Linked DNA regions of Ovis aries. The protein of the gene in region 1 binds, or shares a complex with, the protein of each later gene. Links are inferred from orthologs where the notes say so. Each region holds a gene or a part of one and is shown on either strand. Other genes may lie near its edges. The genes, in order: POLD1 and POLD4.

Region 1 (9,482 bases):
ACTCTGCAAGAAGCAAGTCTCCTGAGCTTTAATACTCAAAGTCCAGGGCCTAGGAAGCCTAGTCCCAGGCAAAACAGACTGGTAGCACCCTCCCTGGAACACTCGCACAGCCTGGTAACTCCCTCCCTCCCCTCTTTAGTCAGACACCCTGCAGCTAGGGAGGCCTTCCGACACTCACCTTGTGGTGACCCTCATGTCTAAAATATGGACGTGATTCTCTCCGTTACCTTCCCTTGCGTTACCTCAATCCATAGAACTAGAACCATCTCACAGGGTGGATGGCGTACTTGCAGACCTGTCTATTATCTGTCTCTTCAAGCCCCAGATGCAAGTGCCACGAGAGCAGGGGGCTTTGTCTTAGAATGTCTCTGCCTGGGACCTGATGCGCAGTGGGTGCTCAATCAAGTTTGATGAATGAATGAGTCACACCTGGAAATGAGTTCCGCTTCACTGTGAGAGCAGGGGATGCCACCTCAGGGGGTGATGTAAGGTGACCTGGGATTAAACACCTTTCCTTTTCCAGAGGAGAGGTACCAGGAAGGAAGCGAAGAGGGTGACGGGGTGGTAGAAACTTCTGAATAAATGTTCACACTTATTACTCATTGCTTCATTCAGGCAAGACATATGGCATACCCACGACGTGCCAAGCCCTTGATGGGCAGTGGGGTTACAGGGTGACCAGCACGCTCTACTTGCTGCTGGTTCCCTCGCTCTGCTGACAGTGGGCAATGCCAGTGGCAGGGCAATGCCAGTGGCCAGGCATGGGGGCCAGTTTTAGGTCAGAGTGTTTATCAGAGCCAGTCTCCTGTCTCCACAGGCCTGCAGGTGGAATTCATCAACCCCATCTTCGAGTTCTCACGGGCCATGAGGCGTCTGGGCCTGGATGACGCGGAGTACGCCCTGCTCATCGCCATCAACATCTTCTCAGCCGACCGGCCCAACGTGCAGGAGCCCAGCCGGGTCGAGGCCCTGCAGCAGCCCTACGTGGACGCGCTGTTGTCTTACACACGCATCAAGAGGCCACAGGTACCGGAGCCCGGACCCTCCCAAGGAAACCTAGACCTGTGTAGGGTCAGCTTCCTACGTCCCTGGCTCACCCCAGCAGCTGAGTTCTGATCAGTGTCCTCTCAGCAGCCTGTCCTCAAGGCCCCTGTCCCATCATTAAGGAGTCAGGCAAGTCCTTGCCCAGGGGCCCCCACACTGCCTCTCCAGGGTGGGGGTCCTCCGGGTGGGCCGCCTGGCACCCACCCACTCCTGTCTCCTTGCAGGACCAGCTGCGCTTCCCCCGCATGCTGATGAAGCTTGTGAGCCTGCGCACGCTCAGCTCCGTGCACTCGGAGCAGGTCTTCGCCCTGCGGCTTCAGGACAAGAAGCTGCCACCTTTGCTGTCTGAGATCTGGGACGTCCACGAATGAAGGGCCCACCCCACTGCCCTGCACATCCCCAATGACTGCACACTGGGGTGGGAAGGGACCGGGCTGGGTCTGGGCTCCCGCCCTGCGGCTCGGAGCTAAAGCCTTGGCCCCCCGCCAGCCCTCAGGATGAGCCCCAGTCGGCGTCCAGGAGCCTCCCTGCCTGCCCACTGAGTCTTCCTGGGAGGGCTGGAGGGGGTCACGGGTCCTGAGCTCTGACCTCTCCCAGCACTCCCAGCTGCCCTCCCCGCCCAGCTTACACCTCAAGCCTACCATGCAGTGCACCTTGAACAGAGGCAGGAGGGCCTGTGGCTCTCCCACAGCCTGAGAGACCACAGACAGGCTCCCTGCTCTGCTCCTTTTATTTAATAAAAACTAAAAAAAAAAAAAAAAAAACAGGAAAATAAAGTATGACTAGAAACTTGCTCTGATTCAGGATGAGTCTGAGGTGGGAATGGGCTGCCAGGGTCTTCATGGACACCAAACCCCCAGACCTGGTGTTGGACTAGGGTGGGTTCAGGGTGATAAGACTAGGCGCTTTGGGGGCCTCAGGGTCATCTGGTGGTTGGAGCCTGCTCCTGAAGGTCAGGGAGGATTTAAGTGGAGGAGGGCATGGAGCTTTCGTTCAATCAGCAAGTATTGGCTGAGGCTGCTTTGTCGGCCAGTCTCAGGACACAGGTGTTTTTCATTTGACAGATGCGTATGGAGCATTTGTGCTGTGCTGTGGTTAGTCGCTAACTCGTGTCCGACTCTGACCTCATGGACTGTAGCCCACCAGGCTCCTCTGTCCGTGGGGATTCTCCAGGCAGCAATACTGGAGTGGGTTGCCATGCCCTCCTCCAGGGGATCTTCCTAACCCAGGGATCGAACCCAGGTCTCCCGCATTGCAGGCGGATTCTTTACCATCTGAGCCACCAGGGAAGCCCCATGGAGCATTTACTATGTGCCAAATACATTCTTAGGCACTGGAAACATCTGTGAACACGATAAAGTCTCTGCAGCCACCGTGGAAAACAGTATGGCGGTTTCTCAAAACACGAAAACTAGAGGAATTCCTTGGCAGTCCAGTGGTTAGGACCCTGGGGGCCTAGGTTCAGTGCCTGGCTGCGGAACTAAGATTACACATGCCATTCGTTGGGGTCAAAAAAAAAGCTAAACTAGAACTCTGTCACAGGACTCAGCAATCCCACTCCTGGATATATACTGAAAAAACCCCAAACACTAAATTTGAAAGGATACACACACCTCAATATTCGTAGCAATATTATTTACAATTGCCAAGATAATGGAAGTGACCTAAGTGTTCATCTACAGATGAAGAAGGCGTCATACGTACATACAGAATGGGATACTATTCAGTCATGAAAGTGAAATTTTTGCTATCTGCAGCAACATGGTTGGACTTGAAGGGCATTGCTGCTGCTGCTGCTAAGTCACTTCAGTCGTATACGACTCTGGGCGACCCCATAGACAGCAGCCCACCAGGCTCCTCCGTCCCTGGGATTCTCCAGGCAAGAATACTCGAGTGGGTTGCCATCTCCTTCTCCAATGCATGCAGGCATGCTAAGTCGCTTCAGTCGTGTCCGACTGTATGACCCCATGGACAGCAGCCCACCAGGCTCATCTGTCCACAGGATTCTCCAGGCAAGAATACTAGAGTGGGTTGCCATTTCCTTCTCTATGGAGGGCATTATGCTAAGTGAAATAAGACAGAGAAAGACATATACTGTGCATCATTTACAAACGGAATCTAAATACAACTAACTAGTGACTATAACAGAAAAGAAGCTGATTGACAGACTGAACAAACTAGTGGTTACCAGTGGCGGGAGGGACAACAGGGGTGGAGGATTGGGAGGTAAAAACTATGGGTGTAAGGTAGGCTCAAGGATGTGTTGTACAACATGGACAATAATAGCCAATATTTTGTAATAATTGTAAATGGACCTTTACAAATTGTATTGGGGAGTTCCCTGGTGGTCTAGTAGTCGGACCTCTATGCTTTAACTGCCAGGAACTGAGTTCAATACCTGGTCAGGAAGTAAGATTTTGCAAGCTAGGCCACACAGCCAAAAATCAAATCAAATAAATAAGGTGAAGTCTCTCCTCGGAGTTGACCACCAGTCAGGGCTGGTCATGGGAGGCTGAGCAGGAACTGACAGAAGGTAAGGGAAGAGGGGCAGCGCGGGACAATGTGGGAGATGAGTAGGAAGTCAGGCAAGGCCTCAAAAGAGGCCTGCTGCTGCTGCTAATCACTTGAGTCTATCTGACTCTGTGCGACCCCATAGACGGCAGCCCACCAGGCTCCCCCGTCCCTGGGATTCTCCAGGCAAGAACACTGGAGTGGGTTGCCATTTCCTTCTCCAATGCATGAAAGTGAAAAGTGAAAGGGAAGTCGCTCAGTCGTGTCCAACCCTTAGCATGGACTGCAGCCTACCAGGCTCCTCTGTCCATGGGATTTTCCAGGCAAGGGTACTGGAGTGGGGTGCCATTGCCTTCTCCCGAAAGAGGCCTAGATGAGTTCAAAGGAAAGGCAGTGGAGTTCTCCTAATTTCTTCTTCTGCTGCGCCAAGCCGTGAGGGGACACCGAGGTGAGCTGAATGGACAGTCCCAGTCCAGGGTGAAGAGGGTGTTGTCTGGAGGGGTGGGTGGAGTACTGAAAAATATATTTTTGTAGAGAGGGGAGAGGGAACGGGGGAACTGAGAGTAGTTACATGCGATCGTCGTATCCCAGAGTGCCTCTCGCTCTAGAGATGTGCCTGCCCTGCGCAAGAGTCCAGTTTACAGATGGGGAAGCTGAGGCCGCGCGAGACAGGAGAACCAACCTGGCCAGGATCTGAGCGCGCATGGGCCAGCCTCTATCGGGAGGGAAAAGGTCAGGCTGCGGACTGGAGGAGGAACACTGCCCAGGCGGTCCTCCCGACAAGGCCTTGGCCAGGAAGCGGCTGGGGTGGAGGGTGCGCGCCCAGCACCTTAGAGCCGGCAGGGTCGAACGGAGGGCCGGCGCCCAGAGCCGCTGCGCGTGCGCAGAGAACACTGGGTCTCAACCCGCCGGTGAGGAAGGGGGCGTAGCTTCGAGCCACAAACGTCAGAGGGGGCGTGGCTTGGCGAGGATACATCCGCAAGGGGACTAGACCACCGTCCAAGTTGGAAGGAGGGGGCGTGGCCTGTGCCCCAGAGAGGGGGAAGAGGGCGTGGCCTCCCATATTTGGGTGGGAGGGGCGTGGCCCGGCTCTGCGCGCCGCACTTCTGGGCCTGCGCGCGCCGGAGTCAGGGGTCACGGCGGCGTGGGCTGTGGCGGGAAACACTGTTTGAAGCGGGTGAGTTACGGGAGAAGGGGATTTGCAGGGGACTTTGCCTGGCCGGGAAGGAGGCTTGGGGAGCCGAGTCCGTGGGCCTGAGAGAGGGTTGTGAGAGCTCGCGTGGGGCATGGCGGCGGGAGGGATCCCCTTGGTTAGGGGGCGCGCGCAGGAGGGGCAGAGGCCAGTGGCCGTGGGCGCGTACGCGGGGGCAGATGACAGGGTGGGGGCGTCCCCTCGGCCTGCGGGGGGCGCTGGCGCTGGGCGCCGAGGACGAGGGGGACGCACACTGGGGAGTCTTGGGAGCAACGGGTCCCGGAGGCATTGGGTTCTCGATGGTGCACGTGAGGGCATGGTGTCATCTTTTATTCTCTAGATACTGAGTACACTGTGCCCAGCACTGCCCTAGGGTTCGAGGCTACAACCCAAATAAGTCAGAGAAAGCCTCTTTCTCAGGGGCAGACCGAGAGTAGACAAGTAGTAAGTAATGACGACAAACCAATGTTGTCAGCTTGTGATTCGTTACCCCAAGGAAAGTGAAACAAGAGTAGCCTGCTTTTTTATTTCTGGAGTGAACAGGAGTAGTCCCTCTGGGGAAGTGACATTTGAGAGAGAAGTGAGCCCCGGAAAAAATGTTCTGGACGTGGGGTGGATGGGCTGGCCATCCAGTAAAAAGACCTTGAAGTAGGAAGGGGCTTGGCTTCCTTGTAACTTGTAGGGAAGAGTGAGGCTGGAGACATGGTAGGGAACCAGATCCTATAGGGCTTTGTACATCTCAGTGTTCCCTTTAACGTTTACTGTAAGTTCAGTAGGGAGCTGGGGAGGTTTTGAGCATCACAGCGTCTTGATCCTCCCCTGAGCTTTAAAAAATCTCTGACTGCAGATTGAAGATGGGGTTGTAGCAGGAGTGAGAGTGGAAGGAGGAGAGGCCAGTTGGAGGCAAGGGGGAATGCTAGGCGGCTCAGCCTGCAGTGCAAGTGGGGAGAATCCATCAGGCGGAGGTGGTTTCTGGAGTGTGAACGCGCACAAGGTGAGTGTAGGGAAGGGGGGAGCCCAGGATCACAGGGCTTGTGGTTCGAGCAGTAGGCTGGAGACGGGGAGCTGAGGGGGGGCAGGTTTGGGGGTGCCACCCTGAGGGCAGAGCTTAGGTGGTGCAAGTGGGCAGGGTGATGGCAGTGTGTCAGGTTCACGGCCACACCCACTCCAGGAACCTCTTGTTGCCTTTTCTCCCCCTCCTTCCTGCACCTCCCCACCCAGGCTGTTCCTGCCCTACTCAGGGCCTTTGCTGGGCACTGGGGAGCTAGTGATAATTCCGTTTGGTTGGAAGAAGGACAGGAATCTCAAGCCAGAGCTCTCTGAACTAAAAAGAGGCGGCACTAGTCTTTGGGAGCTAACAGAAGAAAATGAGGGTTCAAGGTGGACTCATGGCGTTGGTGACACCAGAGAAGGGTCTAAACCGACACAACTTGAAGTGGCCTGCATCGCAGGCTCTCTGCTAGGTGATGCTGGGGACCCAGACTGGAGCCAGCCCCTGACCCCTGTGTTTTGAGGACCTCTCAGTTGGAAGTTGTCACAGCTTGTGCAGTAATGGAAATGCCCCCAAGATGCTGTGGGAGCCCCTAGGGGGCCGCTGATCAGTGAGGAGGAACTGAACCAGAACTGAGTTTCAGAGGGTGTAGAGGAGTTAGGTGGCCAAGAAAAAGGAAGATTTCATCCCGAAAACTTCTCCCAAGACCAGGCCCCATGCTGGATGATCCCGGGGACCCAGAGCAGCCTCAGCCCTGCCCCGCCATCAAGAGTTCCCTGTCTGGTGAGGGAGCCAGACACAAGCCCAGGTGATCCACAGCCCAGGACGAGGGCAGCAGGAGTCACGAGGCCCAGAGGGGGGACCTGGCCAAAGCCTGAAAGGTGTGGAGTTTTCAGGGGGGGCGGGAGTGAATAGATCCATTTGTCGTTATTTAATCGATCCTTTGACAGATGTGTGTGAGCCAGGATACAGGGTGAGCAAGCAGATGAGTCTGTCCTGTCTCCCCTGCTGGGCAGAGGGCAGTTCACCCCCATATCGCTCCTGGCACCCCCAGAGGCCGACAGTCTGGCGCACTGATCACCCGTGGGGCCCTGGAGCCAGTCTGCTTGGGTTGGAACCCGGGCTCTGCCCCTCTGAGCTCGTTGTGTCACCTCAGGCTTGAAGGTGGCTTCACGTCTCTGGGCCTCCATGCCAGTCACTGTGTTGGAGAGTTAATAGCAGCACCTGCCTCAGAAGCTTTGGTGAAAATTTTGAGTTCCTTCCTTGGTGCTGCATTCAGAACGTATTCGGAGAAGGCAAAGGCAACCCACTCCAGCGTTCTTGCTTGGAGAATCCCAGGGACGGAGGATCCTGATAGGCTGCCGTCTATGGGGTCGCACAGATTCGGACACGACTGAAGCGACTTAGCAGCAGCAGCAGCACTTATTTATTGGGTGTGTACTCGGCTTCAGCCTCTCTCCTGGGGACATGAGATGTAGCGGGAAACAGAAGGTGAAATCCCGGCTTTGGCAGTATTTCCATTCTCCTTGCAGACAGTAAACAAAACGAATAGGCAGTAGTGCTCAGGCTTGAGCAGCTTCGGAGGCCCTGGAGGGCTCGATCCTACGCGGGGGGCTGGGCCCACCTCCAGAGGCCCTGACTCAGTAGGTCTGGGGTGGGGCCTGAAGGCTTCCATTCCCACCAGTTCCCACCAGAAGCTGCAGGTGCAGGGCGCCACACTTGGAGAACTCTGAACGATCTGATACAGCACAGCAGACAGCGAGAGGCCAGCAAGAAAAATAAAGCTAGGGAAGGAGTTGGAGAGTGTCAGGAGGGGCAGCGGGGCTGTCTTTTCAAATTTTTCTGTATCTGTTTTCTGGTCGCGCCTTGGCCTGTGGGAGTTCCCTGGCCAGGAATCGAACCCATCCCCCCTGCCGTAGAAGTGCAGAGTCTAACCACTGGACTGCTGGGGAGGCCCCAGGGGCTGTATTTTGAAGCCGGCCTCACTGGGAAGGTGAAATTGGAACAAAAACCTGAAGGCGGGGAGGAGAGAGCCATGGGGATGTCTGGAAAAGAGCATTTGGTTGGGCAGCAAGAACAGCTTGTGAAAAGGTCTGGGGTAGGAGCAAGCCTGGAGTGTTTGAGGAACAGAGAGGAGGCAAGTGGCTGGAGTGAGCAAGGGAGAGAGGGCGGAGGTGGTATCCCTGAAAGAGTAGGTGGGGGCAGTTGTGCAGGGCCTTGTGGGCCACAATGAGGACTTTTAACTGTGCATGAGGCAAGAGCCAGGGACAGGCTCTGAGCAGAGCAGGGGTGGGACGATCTGACATAAAGTCTCTTTGGTTGCTGAGTGGAGAAAACACTGAGGGGGGCCAGGTGGAAGGAGGGCGGGGCCAGGTGGAAGGAGGGAGATGACAGGCGGGCAAGGCTATTCATTCAGCAGATACTCCTCGGGTGTCCTCTATGGGCCAGACACTGTTACTGACACCCGTGATTCTTCAGTGAAGGAGACTGCATCCCAGGCCGAGCTGAGCTTATTTTCCAGCAGGGGGAGCCAGACAAACAGCAATGCACAAAATAGAGGCCAACGATCTTAGGGAGCTGGGGCGGGGCCTGTCCATTGAAAGGGAGAGCTGATAAATAAATTTGCTGATGCAGTGAGCGTGTGGTCTGAAGGGAAGAGAGAAGTTGGGGTGACTCCAAGGTTGTCGACCTGCCGGGAGTTGTACTGAATCAGGGGAGACTGTGGGGTGCGAGGAGCAGGTTTGGGGGGAGATCAGGAGCCTGGCTTTGGAGTCTGGGGTGCCTGAAGGGACGTCGCCACAGTGGGCACTCAGATCTGTCAGCCTGGAGTCCCGGCTGAGGTCTGTGTGGGAGACACAAAAGCTAAGAGATGGCATTTAAAGCCATCCCCTGGTGGTTAAGATTCCACTCTTAGTTGTGGGTTCGATCCCAGGTCAGGGGACTAAGATCCATATGCTTAGTGGTGTAGCAAAAAAAAAAAGCGGTGAGGTTGGGTGGGATGGGATGACAACCTCCAGGGAGTGTGTCAGAGAGAAACGGGTGTGTGACTAGAGCAGGCACTCGTTGTGGTTAATGCTGGATTCACTTGCTGTTCAGTATTTGCTGCTGAAGCACCCAGAAAGGTGCCAAGCTCTGCCCTGCACTCCTGCGAGGGGGACACCCAGGGACCCTCCCTTCTCATGCTGGCTTGCCTGACAGCACCTGGGATAGGAGACTAGTCCAGGACCCTAGGTTTTGCTCCGGTGACAGCTGCCCACCCATCGTACCCCCTGGCCACAGCCCAGTGACCCAGGGCAGCCGGTTGGCCCTCTCCTTCCTCCCCCTGACAAGCCAGGTCTGCCACTCCGTGGGGCTCCTGGCAACCCCTGAGCTTCCTCTGCCTCACCTGGGCATTTCCCCCAGGTCCTAACTCTCTGCATCCCTCTGGCTACTCGCATGGCCGGAGCAAAGGCCTCTAGGCTCATTCCTTATTCTGAGATCAGACCACGTATCTGCACAGTTACACGCGGAGGGCACAGGAAGTACTCAGGCGTAAAAAGGAATGAAGCCCAGATCCGTGCTAGAACGGGGGTGGACCTTGAAAACATTCTCAGGGAAAGAAGCCATACACAGGATTCCATTTCTAGGAAATGCGCAGAATAGGCCGATCCATCTAGACAAAGCAGATCAGTGGTGCTCTGGGGGAGGGCGGGAGAGGCACTGAGTGGAGAGGGTCTTTTTTGTGTGATGACAGTGTTCTAAGAT
Region 2 (8,986 bases), on another chromosome or scaffold:
ATTACCTCTGGACCTCCTTCTGTCCCCAGGAAGGCTAGGGAGGGTGGGAGGGAAGGAGAGAAGGCCCTCCTCCCTGTCGCTCCCCACCCCACCCCCCACCCCGCCAACAGCGCATGAAGAAGAAATCTCACCCCCATGTTGCGATGCCTACCAGATGGAGAACTGTGAGTTGGGTGAGGCAACGTTCGGGGTGGGGGGGCGGGTACAGTAGACTCTCCTGGGAGGCGGCAGGACAGCAGTCATGCTTTGCCAGCTTCCTGCTTTTGCAAAGACTGACCCATATCTAGGACTTCGGTCCCCCCTTGGTGTGTGGGGAGATTCATTCAAGCACTCGCTCTCACACAAACACATATTCTTCACCCACTTGCCACAGTGGAGAGGGCCAAGGGAGGCCCTTGTTCCTCTTAACCTAGAGGGCAAGGGTGATGATCCAGGCCTGGTTGAGCACTCTGACGGGTGGCTCCCTCTCAGCTCCCCCTTATTCTCTGGAGCCACAACTGTCCCTGCCTTTGTCCCTTCAAGTCTTGAGCTCCCTGACTCAGCCTGTTTCCCCAGTTTCCCAGCAGTGGACAAAGCCCTCATCAGTGGGGTGGGGGTGAGGGTGGGGGCAGTGAGGGAGTCACTGTGAGCTTTAGAACCAGAGCTGCAGCCCTCTCCCCAGCCTTCAGTGTGTCTCAGCCTTCCTAGTTCAGAGGCCACCTCTAGGCCCCTCCCCACCTGGCCCTCATCTCCACAAGGCCAGGCCGATGGGGTGGACGTGAAGGAGGACCCTCCTCCCAGCTGGACAAAGTCTGACACCTGGTGGCCAAGGTGAGGAATGGCCAGAAGGGCCCCTTTTCAAAGTTCCCTAGGACTTCTTTAAAGCCGGCAAGGCCAAGGTGAAATGGGAGGTGATGGGAGGGAGGTTTGAATGGGGTAGTGGAGACAGGGCAGAAGAGACATCCAGTGGCAGAAACCCAGACCCAGGGGAACTTCTGCCTACTCCCAGGCTCCTGAAAGCCCACGAGGCCCGGGAAGCTGGAGGAGGAGGAAGGAGGATGTCTGAGGGGGTCAGCAGGGACCAGGAGGAGCTGCCTGAAAGAATTCTGGCCCCACAGGGTGGGAAACGGGGCTCAGGGTTGTGAGTCTGGTGCCGAGAATCTCCAGCTCAGGGTGGGTGGCAGGGCCTGAGGGCCTGAGGAAGGGGGATGTTGGGGAGGGAAGGAGAGTGGCTGCGCCCCACCGCCTGCTGGGCCCCAGGCAGCTGCTCCCCTCTCTCCACCTGCCCCCTCCTCTGAGCTCTGACAGGCCCTCCCCGCAGGCCCCACTGTTGGGGGGGAGGGAAGGGGCTCTTAGGGTGCATGTGCAGTGCTGAAGCACCGCCCCCCCCCCATCCTGCCGCATTGTCTGAGCTAAGCCAGGCCTAATCCCCCTTCCCCTCGGAGCAGTCAATGGCAGGCCTCAGCCCTCAGGAAGGTGGTGGGATCCTATTCCAAGTCTTTTCTCTCCTTTTCTCTTGGGTTCCCCCAAGATTTTGGACTTGGCTGTGAGGCAAGGGCCTTGAGTGTTCCAAGGTCATTCCTGCTAGTGTCATCACCAGCCTCTGGGGATCAGGGCTGACAAGGAACCTACATCTGGGTCTCAGGAAAATCCCTGAAAGAGAGAAAGTTTAGCCCCCAAGCCAGACCTCTGGCCTGGCCTTCCAGCCTGAAGCCTGAACCACGACAGGCCCCAGGACAGCGGTTTTGGGGCTAGGCCAGGAGGTTGCCTGAGTAGGGATAGGGGTTCCAGGAAGGAAGAGCAAAAGAGGCAGACAGGGTTGGAGAGCAAAGAAGGAAAACACCTGAGGATGGACAGGCGGATGTCTAGCCTAGTTGCCAGCACAGCTTAGGAATCCAGATGCCAAGTTGGGCAAAGATCCCCAGCTGGACAGGGATGGCCCCAAAACCCCTGAGTGCCAACTCCTTCAGGCCCTGGGGCTTGAGCCGACCTCTGTGTGACTAGGAGAGGGGGCCATGCTGCCTGCGGAGACTTTGCTCAACTCCAGGCCAGAAAACCCATGCTAGGGTGCTGGCACTTGAACTGAGAACCTGGACTAGGAGAAGCCAAAGGCCGAGGGAGACATCTTCCAGGCTGAGCAGGGCAGGCTAGCAGGGCCTGGACCAGGCAGGGCTGGGGGCAGCTGGCAGGGATTGCCCAGACAGTGCCCATAGAGCCAGCCAGGGTGCCAGAGGGGAGAGGGACTAGCTCAGGCAGCGGTGGGTAGGAGCCACGGTGGCCGCCCAGCCGCATACCCCATTTCACGCTCCCTGGGCGGTGGCAGGGCCCCACGGCTATCAGCTTTCAGGGGTGGGAGGGACCAGGAATGAGGAGGGGTCTGCCCCACCCATGGCTCCCTACTCCCTTAGGGCTTTGTGGGCTCAGAAGCTGGGTGCCACACACCTCCAGACACACCCTCTGGGGAGGGGTGGTCAGACTCACAGAGCCTGAGCACCATCCCTCCCTGGAGTACTCCCTGCCTGACTGGACCCAGCACCGAAGCCCTTCACAGCCTGGTGGAGAGGGCCTCCCTGTCTCCCTCCCTGTCACAGCAGGGCCCCTGTCTCCCTCCCTGTGGGCCCCACTTAGTCCAGGAGGCAGATGGGGGGATTAGACTTGGCCCAGCCCAAACAATAAAGCAGGGAAGGGCCCTCCAGCTCTGTGCAGTGCACCCAGGAGCTCTCACTCCTCCACTCTGCTCTCCTCCAGGAAGGGATGGGGAGAGCCAGGTGGGAGGAGGCCCCTGCAGACACGGCCTGTTCCTGCTCCTGCGCCTCCTCTTTGGTGGTCTTTCTCCAGAGCATTCTCCTCCCTTTTGCCCACACTCCTCCTGAAACAGGGAGCCCAGACCCCAGAGCAGTGGGAGAGGGGGAAGCAGAAGCCCCTGAGCAGGCCCTTGTGCCCTGGGAGGAAGAACCGGATGGGATCTGTAGAGGGCGATTAGCACTGGGCTGGGCCCTGCAATGATTCCCAGACTCCCACTGGCCAGCACTTTTGCCTGCTGCCAGGAAGTTGGTGAGGAGGAGGCGGGTACAGGGGTGAGTCAGCGATGACAGGAGCCCAAGGGACAAAGGTCATGGGTGGAGAATTGAGAGACACTGTTTACAGCAGCCCACCTCCTCCAGGAGGACTTCCAGTGCTAAGCCAGCCTCACAGTACAACTCATTTCTGACCCTGTCGTCCTCTTCTAGTTTGTTAGGAATTTTATCCTTGCACTGCCATTTGTGTGTCTGTCTGCTTGCCTATTGGCCTGTGAGCTCCTGGGGGACACAGAGGGACGATGGTTTCACCAGGGCCCCACCGTGCCTGACTTCCTACTTCCTGTTATTTTATTTTGGCTGCGCTGGTATGCTTGTGGGATCTTAATTCCCAGAACAGGGACCGAATCCGTTCACCCTACAGTGTAAGCACTGGGTCCTAATCACTGGACTGCCCAAGGAAGTCAGTACTTCCTACTTTCAAGAACCATTTCTGTCTATTTTAGTTGAGAGAGTATGTGGGAAAGTGCTCAGGACAGAACTTGGCACACCGTGTAAGTGTCAGGTTTACTGTCGGTATTTTCTACTCATACTCTCACATTGGGACAGATTTTACTGATGAAGGACTAGGGGTCCAACACACTCTGGCCTCCTGCACCGTGTGGAAGTGTGGAATCTTCCTGAACAGAGGGCAGTGCCAGGCTGTGGGACCCCGGGGCAGTGGAAGAGGCAAGCGCTCGCCTGGACTAAGAGTGGGCAATATCTCTGGGCGCAGACTGTGAGAAAGGAGCTTTCAGAACCCCTGGGCTTCTCCAGCCAGCCAGGTCTCCTGGGGCCGGTGGGGGCGGGGTGGGAGCAGGGAAGGGGTATGGATTAGCCCAAACTCTCTCCGGACCTCCAGACCTGCCCCCACAACGCTCTTTGGGCCAAGGGGCGGGAGTGGAAGTCTCCGGCTGGGCTCTGGGGAGTTACAGACCGGCTACGGGGATTAGTGAGGCTGAAAAGAACATTTGCCTAGGAAGGGAAAACGGGAAGTGAGAGGCCAAGGATAACGCTCTGTAAGTCCCCCGAGACCCACTGCAGACCAGTGTGGGGTGGCCGGAGGAGGTGGTGCCGTCTGGGGCATCTTGACAGGTCCCCCACTCAGCCTCACCCCCCTCCCCCAGAGCACAGCTGCATCAACTGCCCCGCCCCTGCCTGCACCACCTGCCATTGGCTGGGACCAGGCCCCGCCCCACACAGGCAGCCTCTCATTGGCTTAGGTCTGCTGTTTGCATGCTTGCGGGGGTGGGGGAGACGCGTCATTCCCTGGAACCCTCCGACTTCCTTGCTGTTTGTCTGGGTCGTCCGTCTGCCCATCGCTGGCCCCAGGCTCGCTCTCTGGCCCCAGCCCTCTCTCGCTCTCTCTCAGCAGCTGTCTCTCTCGTGCCCGCTGGCCTGCTTCTCCTTCCCGGCAGTGGCCTCCTCCTCTGCCTGCCTGGGTGGCCGCCATGGGCCGGAAACGGCTCATCACTGACTCCTACCCTGTAGTGAAGAGGAGGGAGGGCTCCGCTGGGCACAGCAAGGGGGAGCTGGCACCAGAGCTAGGTCTCTGAGATGTGGGAGGGCGGGAGGAGTGGACGTGAGGGACATGAAAGGACATGGGCTGTGGAAGGGGAAGTGGAGTATGTCCTCTACTTCCGATAGCAGTGGATAACAGAGGCAGAGGGGTGGTGAGAGCTGGGGAACAGTGGGGTCAGTTGTGAGGCAAGGGGCAGGGCACAGGCCTGGGCAGGCCTGAGGAACAGCATATCATTGCAGGGGAAGAGCCCCTAACCCTGAGCGTGGATGAAGCGGAGCTGGAGCTGCTGAGGCAGTTTGACCTGGCCTGGCAGTATGGGCCCTGCACAGGTGAGAGCCCCTCAGGCCCGAGAGCACATCCAGGAGCCAGTCTTGCCACCCACACGTCTCTCAAGCAACCCCAGCCCCTGCCTGACCCTCTGGACACCGTCTCCTGAGACGGGGACTCATGCAGGTCCTGACACACCCCTCCAAACATACTCTCTAGCCTGGACTTTCCCCTGCCCCCTTGAGGCCTCCCTCACTGTCTCCTTTCCACTCCTGCAGGGATCACACGGTTGCAGCGCTGGCATCGGGCAGAGCAGATGGGCTTGAAGCCTCCCCCAGAAGTGCGTCAGGTGCTGCAGAGCCACCCCGGGGATCCCCGCTTCCAGTGCAGGTCAGAGACAAGCCAGGGAGAGCTCTGGGGGGTGGGGCAGGGACTTCAGGTACCACCAGCCTGCTGGCCCAGGATGGGGGCTGTCCTGACCTTCGGGATAAGTAGGTGCAGCCTTGGGGATTGTCACTGGGCAGGCAAGAAGGTTCTACAAGGTGCTGAGCTCAGGAGGCAGAAGCTTGCCTTCGTAATTCTTATCTCTGAGCTAACGGTGGAGAAAGAGTACACCTGGGGCCCAAGGGACTATTTCATGCTCAAAGGTTGGCCAAGGGCTTTAGGCCATGGCCGAGAGCTGGGGCTGGTGAGAGCAAGTGGAGAGACTTCACTGATTCAGGTTTCCCTCCATCCCGACCCCCCTGCACAGCCTCTGGCATTTCTATCCCCTCTGACGCTCCGCCGAAGACCTCCTGCCTGCTACTTGAGAACCGGACACAAGTGAGAGCCAGTTGCTGCCCCGCGGCTCAGCCCTGCTGTGGAGAACATTTGGCAGGAAAGAGGCAGGCAGGGAAGGAAAGAGGCTGAATCTGGAGGTCTAACCAGCCGGGTTCTAGCGCCTCCTCTGAGAACCGACACAGAGGAAGCCAGGTGACCCCTACAGGGAGAGTGATCTCTGGAGGGCCTGGCCGTGACCCTTCTGAAGCCTGCCACACCCCTGTCCTGGACCCCGTGGTCCCTGGCAGCAGCTTTGGGCAGAACCAGACTCCGGCAGAAGGCAGATGACCTCAGAGGCCAAGATGCACCCGCTCCTCAGGCTGGGAACCCGAGGGCAGAACGGCTGAGCTCACAGGGCAAGGGGTTCACTAGTGCTTATCAATAAAGAACTCTGAGCCTGGAAACCTGACCAGTCTCTTTATGTGGGCCTGCCTGGGCTGTTGATAGGTGGCTGAGAACCAGCACCATGCTTTCCTGCAAGGTGTTTGTGTCTCTTCCTCTCCTAACCCTAGACCGGGGAGGAAGGAGAGACACCTTCAAAAAAAAACAACGGTCAGTACTCACAAGCGCTGGGCAACCTCTGGCGCCCCCTGGTGGTTCACAGGAAAACGACTCTAGCCACCTTCCCCGACCAGCCAGGAAAAAACCACTGAACCCATCACCTAGCCTGCCCAGTGCTGCCCAACTCACAAAAATGGGTCCTTTGTCAGAGAAGGACCCATGGGCGCACTTATAAGGTCCAGACAGACATCACATTCCCAGAAAGCACCTCCATTTGCCACTGGGGGCCACCTGGCTCCAAAGCACGGTTGGGGGAGAGTTTCAACCCACAGGACCTGCTCAGAGATGGCCATCATCTGAGGAGCTTCGGTAGGGAACTGACAGGTCCTAGAGATGGAGAAGAACTGGCTGTAATCGACAAACAATGCTTAGGGGACCCTGGGACACGGAGAATGGAATCAGTACTTACGATGCCTCAGCTCTCTGTCCTGCGACAGCTAGAGACAGAACTACTAATTCTCTGGAAGCAGGCCCAGAGGGCAGCAAAGTAGTCTTTTTATTGAGCGCTGACCATGCCTCAAGTACTTTGAATGTATTATCTCTAAGTTTCTGAAAACATCTTCACAGTAGGTTTTACGTAGAAGGACATTGAAGCCTAGACTGCTGTACAGAGTCGTCCAGAAGCACCAGCAGGCACGTGGTGGCGCAGAGACTAGGGGCCAGGTGCACTAGGCTCTTCCGTCTCCCCCTGCCCCGCCTGGCTGCTGAGCACCTGCTGCATGCCGGACTCGGAGGTCCTCTGGGGGTATCAGTGGGAGGAGATGGACAAAAACGAACACATAAAAGTATTATGTCAGGCAGTGGTCAGTGCTGGGCAAAATGAGGGTGAGAGGACAGAGTGCCAAGGGTGCTAGAGAGGCTGTGAGGGGAGACTCTCTGGCATCCACCCTCCCCAGGCAGGCGTGCTCCCAGCTCGGTCAAGAAGCAGCACAGAGACCAGGGTGGGGCAGAGGGAGCCAGGGGAGGGTGAGGGGAAATGGGGACAGAGGGGTAACCAGGTTGGTCCCAGGGCTCCTTGCAGACCAGGGTGAGGAATCTGGATTTCATTCTGAGTAAGAGAGGAAGTTGTCAATGGGTTTTAAGCCAACAAATGACAAACTGATGGCTGTTGGTAGAAAACACAATGGGGGGCTGGGGGCAGGAGGCTGCTGGAGGTGATGGTGATGCCTCACCATGAGGTGAGGGGTAGGAGATAGAGGTAGGAGGTGGCCAGACTCTTTCTGTATTTTGAAGGAAGAACTAACTGACAAGACTTGCTGATGGGTTGGCTGTGGGGTTTAAGAAAGAGGAGCCAAGGATAACTCCAAAGGGTTTGGCTTGCACAACTGGAAGAACAGAGTTCCCATTACTAAGATGGGAAAGATTGCGGGAAGGGGAGGGTGGGGCGGGGAATGAAGAGTTCAGTTTGAGGTCTGTGACACAGCCAAGCTGGGGAGTCGGCAGTGGTGGATACGTAAGTCTGGAATTCCAGGAAAAGCTCTCGAATTGAGATAGAAATTTGGGCATCCTTTAGGTGGCAATGAAAGCCATGTGTGGGCATGAGATTACCTGAGTGAGTATAGACAGAGGCAAGGGCCTGAGCAAGGAGACTGAGGAGGGGCACGACTGGAGGAAGTCAGGAGAGAGGAGGGCCTGGGAGGCCTGGGCAGAGGGTGTTTCAAAGTCTCAGATGCTTCTGACAGGCTGGTAAAATAAACCTGAGACGTGCACGCTGGACTTGGCCACGTGGAGGTCACTGGCGACAGGCAGTTCCCCTGGACTGGTGGTATAGGACTGGGCCTAGAGTGGGCGCAGAGGGAGCGGCGGTGGAAGTGGAGACAAGGATCAGGCCAGGCCTTCCAGGGACCTTTTATTGTGAAAGAAGCAGAGAAGTGAGTGGCAACTAGAGAGGATATGGGGTCAAGGAATGGCGCTTACTCTGTGCTGCCCCGTTCCATCTTTCGTGTTAGAGTGACACACAGCGTAATGGCCCGGCGCAGGGAGAGACCAGGGGGTGGGGCACTGAGGGCCGGGAGACAGTGGAGGCAGGTGATGAGTGGGGTCTCTGTGAAGGTGAGGAGGGCCAGGACTAGAGCACAGGGAAGAGTGTGGCCTTAGACCAGAGCATCCAGTGGCCTGAAGGGAGCCACAGGGAGTGGGGCAGATGCAGGGGAGGGGACATTCAAGAATCAGACGTTTGCTGACAGCTTGGTGCGCTGGGAGGGAGCAGATGTTTACCAAGCACTGACCCGTGCCATCTGCTGCGCTTCACGCCACCTAGCTGGCTGCTCAGAACAATCTCGTCAGGTGAGTATCAGCCACTGTCACAGATGAGGACACCGAGGCTGAGAGGAAAAGTGCCCTGCTTCATCAGTGGACACCAGGGCCCAACTCCCACCCAGGTCTGCCTTCCCACTCTGAGGCCCCACACCCGCATTCCCACCCACACCTGCTCCAGGTGTCTAGTGTAGCATCGGAAAGACCTGCCCATGTGGAAAGTGTGCTACCCTGGGGCGGGCAGGAAGGCATCGACAGAGTGCTCAGGGAGGACCGAGCACAGCGTGTTCCGGGGAACCTCACTGCAAGGGCCCTGAGCCCAAGCCTGCCACATCCTGCTGCCTGACCCCGGCGCATCTTACCACACATGGCCCCTCATCCGGCCCCTGCTTCTCAGACCTTTCCACTGCAGAATGAGTGCACGCTCGCCCCTGGGACCACTCTGAATATTCTTAGTAATTGTGTGTTTTATCTTTGGCAAATTTTGTATTCTATTCCACGGTATGTCTGAAGTAGCTGCTGTAAC

The links.
Region 2: POLD1 (region 1) and POLD4 share a complex: the UniProt entries of both Homo sapiens proteins name them as parts of the tetrameric DNA polymerase delta complex. The link is inferred for Ovis aries from reciprocal best matches to the Homo sapiens genes POLD1 and POLD4.

The regions. Positions count from the first base shown.
Region 1 is NC_056067.1:56,282,722-56,292,203, forward strand, and holds the start of POLD1 (DNA polymerase delta catalytic subunit), read left to right. Parts: upstream 1-4,678; 5' UTR 4,679-4,732; intron 4,733-5,594; 5' UTR 5,595-5,741; intron 5,742-6,444; 5' UTR 6,445-6,461; coding exon 6,462-6,619; intron 6,620-9,482. Other genes in the region: NR1H2 (oxysterols receptor LXR-beta), read left to right, coding at 818-1,026, 1,269-1,415. UniProt on the Homo sapiens protein: As the catalytic component of the trimeric (Pol-delta3 complex) and tetrameric DNA polymerase delta complexes (Pol-delta4 complex), plays a crucial role in high fidelity genome replication, including in lagging strand synthesis, and repair.
Region 2 is NC_056074.1:41,658,079-41,667,064, reverse strand, and holds POLD4 (DNA polymerase delta subunit 4), read left to right. Parts: upstream 1-4,325; 5' UTR 4,326-4,486; coding exon 4,487-4,583; exon of another isoform or gene 4,584-4,796; coding exon 4,797-4,886; coding exon of another isoform or gene 4,887-5,010; intron 5,011-5,102; coding exon 5,103-5,214; intron 5,215-5,575; coding exon 5,576-5,600; 3' UTR 5,601-6,047; downstream 6,048-8,986. UniProt on the Homo sapiens protein: As a component of the tetrameric DNA polymerase delta complex (Pol-delta4), plays a role in high fidelity genome replication and repair.